2 linked regions of the Rattus norvegicus genome follow. The protein of the gene in region 1 purifies or fractionates together with the protein of each later gene. This does not show direct contact. Links are inferred from orthologs where the notes say so. Each region holds a gene or a part of one and is shown in the gene's direction. Other genes may lie near its edges. The genes, in order: Fmr1 and Tdrd3.

Region 1 (3,832 bases):
TAGAGAGTATTTAAATATCTAATCTTATTCCTTTCATTATGTATGTTTATCTCTGTTTAAAAGGGTATAGAACTTCTTCATTCTAATTGGTTGTCACTCTTTAAAACTCCTGTCTTCAGATTCCTGCCAGAGGCTATTTCCCTAACTTACTATTTCGTCTCTTAAGGTGCATTTTATCTACTTTTATTAATTCTCCAATAATTGTCATCACCATGCATTTACTTTCATTGATAACTATCTAGTACTTCCATTCATTACCATAGAAACTAAATAGGTTTTGTTTTAATGTACCAACTCAAGTAGGTTACTGTCAATTTGAAGAGTCCCTCATATTTATTCATTAGGGGAAATCATCAGTTGCTATAGCAAAAGAAAGGGGCAGTTTCAGATTTCTATTTAAGAAAAAAGGTAGTCAAGACTGTGAAAATTGCCACTTTTCAACTTGTTGTGTGATTGATGAACTCTTAACAGAAAAGGAAAATTTTACTTGTATGCCAAATGGCTGTTGAGGTCTGTTTGATTGGTGTTTGTTTGTTTATTTGTTTTTGATCTCATTCTTTCTTGATGTCCCCCATGTTCACACTTTTGTGGTTTAGTGATTTTCTCATAACTTTTAGGCCACAGCAGCCTTCTTAATTTCATTGTGAGTATTATGAACTCATATACCTCTTCTTAAGCATCTAATTCTTCTTGAATATCCTTTGCTATACCTTTGGTTTACATGTATCCATAAATTAGCAATGGGAAGAAGGAAGCAGGGTAATGAATCAAGATCTAAAAATGTGACTTCTTGGAAAATCCTAGAAGATTTTGTGTACTTACTACCATTACCTTTAAAACAATTATTATTCTTTTAAACTTGTTTACATTAGATATATTCATTCATTCAAATTATCTGGTGTGTTGAATAATGATATGTGCATGCCTATTTTCTTCACTACTAATATTAAAGAGGTTCATAAATCCTTATAAAAAATACCCATTTTTCAACATGAGCCACTAATCTGTTTAGTTTTCATTAATGGCATGCTAGAACTAAACATTCAATTTTGATATGCTTCTTAAAGACAGTGATTATCCACATATGTGAGGTATCATTGGAACTTCGTTTTGTCATTGCTGAATATTAAAGAGTTCATCAAGCTTTTATGGATTCAGATCACAAAGTCTTACAGACTCTGAACATATAAGTAATGAAAAATTGCGATTTCGATATTCTGGGATTGTTCTCTTAACTGCTAAACCACAAAGTTTTAGGATTTTTTTTCCTTGTGTTTGGGGAGTACGGGGGTGTTGTCTTAATGCCACATTTCAACAGAAGGATGTTTAGATCCACCATACCTGGTAACATATTATGAAAATGTCACCATTTCTAGAAAAAGTATTTATATATCCATTGTAAGTGCAGTAAATATTTTTTTTATTTAAGATACATTTTTATTTGTTACTTAAATTAAATTGAGTCTGTCAGACCAGGTGAGCTATTTTTAATTGGGAATATTTTGTCTGCTCCTTAATTATTACATTGTGGATATCATTGATTAACAAAGGCAGCCTTGCAAATAGGTTTACAAACATAACCTTGAAAAACTGTCAATAAGCTCTTTTCTGTTAATAACAACAACAATAAAACCTTTTAAATGGCATAGACCTTCAGTAGCCTCAAAAGAACTTATGTATGATTCTAAAATTAGTTTTTCTATTGTAACAATTTATAGGACCCTGATATATAGGGTCAAGATAATTTACATGGCTGGCCTAAATGAAATTGACTTAATAATTGGTAAAACAAGTTAATCACTTGTGCATTTCTCTTCAGAGTTCAAGGCAGCTTGCCTCAAGATTTCATGAACAGTTTATCGTACGAGAAGATCTGATGGGTCTAGCTATTGGTACTCATGGTGCTAATATTCAGCAAGCTAGAAAAGTACCTGGGGTCACTGCTATTGATTTAGATGAGGATACCTGCACATTTCATATTTATGGAGAGGTAAATATTTCACTATAAAATCCAATTGCCGCCCCCTCAGAGAAGCAAATAAACAGTATTTCAAATGCCAATTTTTTTTTGCCTTGATACTACACCCACTCACCCTTCTTTATTAGGATCAAGATGCAGTCAAAAAGGCTAGAAGCTTTCTGGAATTTGCTGAAGATGTCATACAAGTTCCACGAAATTTAGTAGGTAAGTCAAAAATAACTATTGATATATACCACAAAAAATAAAATTCTAGTACACAACTTCTATACTAAATTTCTTTTCATCACTGAAAAGTGTAATCTGATTGAAGCAGTCTTGGAAATGTAGCCTGTTCTTACAGTATATAGAAAATATATACTCCAAGATTATAGTTTTTCAGAAGATATACAAGAAATACTTTGTTAGCTCAGACTTATAAATGTCTGAAAGGATCATTTTTACCTAGCCTCAAACCATACTTTTTTTTTATCATAGCATTGAATGTTTTCCTTATAGTTTGGTGATATTTGATAAAATAATAGCATTTGTGTCAGTTATCTCTGAACTCAAGATCTGGATATGACTTGCTTAGACATAGTATTAACATTCCCAAATTATTCAGTTGTCTTTAGTAGAACAAACTAAAAACAGGCACAGGTGTACTTTTAAAAATATGTTTTGAATTTATAAATGATTTGGGGGTACATTCTTAATTCACTTATAAAAGAATAAAATGAACAAACTTTCTATGTATTTTATGTATATAGCTTAAAACATTCATAGGCTATATTTTGTCAAAATAGAATTGTAATATCTTCCAGCATGTCATTTAAAATTACGAGCCAATAGCCCAGCATTCTGGAAACAGAGGCAGATGCACAAAGATCACAAATTCAAGGATAGCATGGGTTAGGCATAGCAAGATCCTCACTCCAAAATGTGTCCAAGAGTCATGGTATTCTTTTTTTACCATTAATAAGTACAAATGCTAGTGAAACTAATTTACATGTATGCTACAACACAAGAATGTGAATGTAATGTTATCAACACACTACTCATTGTATAGATGGTACATACATAACACAGAATGAACTGACAATTGTGGCAAAAACATGTATGTACGTTAAAATTTATTTTGATGGTACTATAGTAGGTGAAAATGTTTATACATATTTGGTACCATTGTGACTTTGGGTGACTGATTTAGCTCTTGAGAGAAGAATATTTTCCCTTCACTTAATATGTATATCAATGTGGTAATTCATGGTCTAGTTGCTTAATGAGGTGTTGTTATTTGTAGTACTTAGCACAATTCTGGGCACAGAAGGAAACTCCATGTTCTCTTTCATTTATTCATAACTTCTTTATTTTATTACAGCAGACTTAGAGTAAATTGTTCTGTTGGAATTTGGAAGTAACTGCAATATATAAGATTAGATTAAATTACCAAAGAAGAACTTGGATTAAATGTAGAGGGTGTTTAAGGTTACTTTACACCAAAAAAAAAGCCCATTGCAGTCAATCAGTCCAATTGAGTTTTCTTTAGTTTATACTTAGTAAAACAAGAGAACTCTGGCTTGATGAGACATGCTGCAACACTAAGAGTACTGGGCTTGTTCAGAAATCAGTTTTTGTAAGGTTTGTCAGGAAGGAGTTCAGGGTGATATCTTAATCACTGTTACTTGAGTGTTCTCGAGTCTCACCTACTGACTGATCCAAACAGTAATCACAAGCCTTTTTCAGTATGTACACCAGTTTATCTTCCTGAAAAATTTGCTTGTTCTTTCTACACTTTGACAATGACACAAGTACTTAGGGTAGTTAAGATACTATCTTAATAGAAGCATACCAAAATCCTACTTTTCTTTATGC
Region 2 (3,496 bases), on another chromosome or scaffold:
CTGTTGACAGCTTCAGAAGGTATATTAACATGAAGACTATAAACCATGTTTAACTTAGGAAAGTGGGAGCTACTTTGAAGATACTAAATCATTATTCTTGCAAATAGGAAGAAGAGGGTACCTATGATCACACCATTGAGTTCCGGAGAGGGGGTGACGGACAGCCTCGAAGGTCCACTCGGCCAACACAGCAGTTTTACCAGCCTCCTCGAGCTCGGAACTAATGTGAAAGGTAAGGCGACATTGCCAGATAGTTTTCATATAAAAAAGATGTACTTTGTGTTCAATACAAGTTCAGCTACTGATGTTTCATAATAATGCACATAGAAAAAGCCGATTTTGTGATTCAGCTTTCAAGTGACAGTGTGATTTGCCACTTTTCCACTAGCCTTTCCCCACAAATCCTTCTAGAAATCTATTGCTCCACTTCTGCTATGTTAGTTACTGCTCTGTTGTAAAGAAACACCATGACCAAGGCATTGCATAAATGAAACATTTAAGTGGGACCTTGCTTCAGAGGCTTTTAGTCTGTGACCATTGTGGCAGGGAGTATGACAGCCTGCAGTCATGGGGATGGAGCAGTAGCTGACAATTCACACCTGCTCCATAAGATACAGTCAGAGATGGAAAATGGACCTCAAAGTCCACCCATATGACTCACCTTCCTCAACAAACCTGTACTCATTCCAACAAGGCCACGCCTCTTAATCCTTTCCAAACAGTTCCTACTAACTGTGGACCAAGCAAACATGAGCAAACATTCTGGTCCAAACCACTGTACGTATTTTGTGTTCGTTCTCTCTCTCTCTCTCTCTCTCTCTCTCTCTCTCTCTCTCTCTCTCTCATAGTTTTATTATATTTTTTTGAGAATTTCATAAATGAATGCAGTATCTACCCCTGACTCCAGCTCCCCCTGTGTACTCCCTCCCTCTCTCTGAATCTCTCTCTCTCTCTCTCTCTCTCTCTCTCTCTCTCTCTCTCTCTCTCTCTAATGCTCTTCCCATCCCTTCTCTCTTTTCTGGGTTTTGCAGTTAATCTAATTGAATACTCACATCTGAAGATCGAGAACTAGAACCCACAGATATGTGAGAGCATGCCTCGTTTCTGAGTGCTCTTGTATGGTTTCATCTAGTTGAGCTTATTTAAGGAAGAGGTCAGAAAGACAACATGCCTCTTACTCAGTTGGAGGCTGTTTGCTTATCTAGAAGCATTCATACCTCTTTCAGAAAGAACAGCTGTCTAAAAATTATCTTTACTAGGGAGAAGGAGCAGGAAGGAGATTTAGGAAACTGTCTCAGACATCACATGCTTGACAAAGACCTTATTTTCTAATATGTTTCTAGAAGAAAATACTTTCACATTTGGCAAACAGCTTGTCTTCTTACTGTTTTCAGTCCATTCTGCTACTTTTGGAGAATTGAAAATGAATTTTCTATCAGGTATTTATTGTCCTATAGACTATTCTGGACTTAACTATATTTTTCTGTCTTCAGTAGCAAGAATGAGAAATTTCTAGGAACTCCTCAGTTCCTCATTTTACACTTAGTTCTGCCAAGGTTTTTAATCAGGTTCTCTTTTCTCCTGACCAGTAGCCAGCAGTGGCTATGGAATCCTTGAAGTCAGAGTGTTAATTGAGGTGTGATATGGGTGGAAGGAAAAAAAAATCAAAGAGGGGGGAAAAGGAAATTATCTCAATAATTTAATGTTGATCTAAGTTAAATAATGTTTTAAACATATTGAACTGTGACCAACATTTAAACTATTCACATTTCCCGAACTTCAGATGAATGCAGTGTTCCTGAGCCATGTGTCCTTCGGCTCCCAAAACTTACTTATGTCTGAAACTATTTACAGTATTCTAATAGAAACGCAGAACTTTCCTGACATTTAACTTCATATCTCAGTCAGCCTTAAGCAAAAGCCTAATGCTAATTGACTTCTGACCCTCAGAGCCAGCCAGTGTAGCTCTTTCCCTTTTATCACCACCTCCTCTTTGCGCTCAGAACAAGGCTATCAAGCAAACAGTTCTGACCCAGACGCAGATCAAAGAGGAGCTGCTGCATAACTCTGGGCATTTTTCTGTAGCATACAGGAACCAGTTCTCATGGTCTTTTTTAAAAAGCAGAATCAAAGTATATACAAGGATTTAAGGAGCTTATACACTGCAGAAGATTGAGTGTATACTCTTAAAATAAGTTCCTTGTGCTTACAATTAAATGACACTTTAAAGTAAATGAAAATAGAGATCTTTTTCCTACTTTCTGGGGATTTTTACATCACTTAAAACAGTTTTTAATGAAACTAAAGGTTCTGAGCGGGATGTGAGCTCTCTGGCTCTGCTGTTTGGGTTGATGGAGAGGGTTGGATGGCTGGAAGCAGTGGAAAGCTAGCACGCACCCAGTGGGGAGGGCTAAGTCCTCCCAGCCTCCCAGGAGTGTCTTTCATGTATTTTGTATGTTTAGGTTCCATGGAAATTTTTCTTTGAAAAAGTACACTGCTTAAAAATACATTATACACCATAGCCCTGAGGGTAATTTTGGCCTAACCATATCAAATCATACAATGCAAACATTTCCTAATCAACTTAAGTGTCATAGTCTTACTTTTCATGCCCCCTAAGTTAAAGCTTTCATCTTGGATGCTGGGGTACAGCTCTGGTAGAGCTTGCATACTTAGCATGTGGCAGGCCCTGAGTTCTGTGTTCTGCCATGAAGTAATATTAATAAGTCAGTCTTCCTCATGGTCCAGATGCTTGCTTGGCTTGGACTGTTTTCAGGGAAGAAAGGTGACACTGAAAATTTAGATTGTTGGTAATCGTATTCTGTATCATTGTAAAAACAACTTTGCTGTAAAGTTTACATAAAAGTAAAGTGAGCAAGACATGCAATGTTGGCTAGGAAGACTTGGCATTGTAACTCAGAAATACATCATCAAAGCCCATGTAATGTAATGAAATACTCCTGCCAAACGGTCTTAATGGGATGTTCAGAAGTGAGGTGCAGAAACTTCTGTTCTTGTCACAAAATTGAAAACTTTCCTTTTCACTTCCCTTATGTTTCTATTAATTTAAATATCCAATAAGAAGAGCATATTTGGTAGTCAGCTCTATGACTTTCCATAAATATAAATATAAAGTTATGTATGGTCAAGTACTATTTTTTTCTCAAAAATTATATAGGATGGTGAGAAATACTCTAGGCATTTCTGCTATCACTTCCAAAAATATAATTTTAAAATCCGTTCATTTATATTTGGATTGTGTTCCTGAAGTGTAAATTACATGGAATTTGAGTTAGGCATCTGCATGTTAGTTCCCAGGAACATTTCCTTGAACTCTCTATACAACCCTATTTCCTTCTTCTCCAGGATGGAGACACATTGGAGTCACCTGGGTCTTACCCTAAGGCCAGCACCAGAGACTCATGAAACACAGAGCTCAGAGGCAGGGCCCAGTGAGAGAAGGGAATCAGTGGAGTGAAAAGACAGCTCCAGGTGT

The links.
Region 2: the proteins of Fmr1 (region 1) and Tdrd3 purify together in Homo sapiens (affinity purification with mass spectrometry; 4 studies listed by BioGRID and IntAct, with this or other methods). This does not show direct contact. The link is inferred for Rattus norvegicus from reciprocal best matches to the Homo sapiens genes FMR1 and TDRD3.

What each region holds. Positions count from the first base shown.
Region 1 is NC_086039.1:152,301,714-152,305,545, forward strand, and holds part of Fmr1 (fragile X messenger ribonucleoprotein 1), read left to right. Parts: intron 1-1,819; coding exon 1,820-1,990; intron 1,991-2,106; coding exon 2,107-2,185; intron 2,186-3,832.
Region 2 is NC_086033.1:69,878,764-69,882,259, forward strand, and holds part of Tdrd3 (tudor domain-containing protein 3), read left to right. Parts: intron 1-107; coding exon 108-224; 3' UTR 225-232; exon of another isoform or gene 233-233; intron 234-3,496. UniProt on the Homo sapiens protein: Scaffolding protein that specifically recognizes and binds dimethylarginine-containing proteins. Plays a role in the regulation of translation of target mRNAs by binding Arg/Gly-rich motifs (GAR) in dimethylarginine-containing proteins.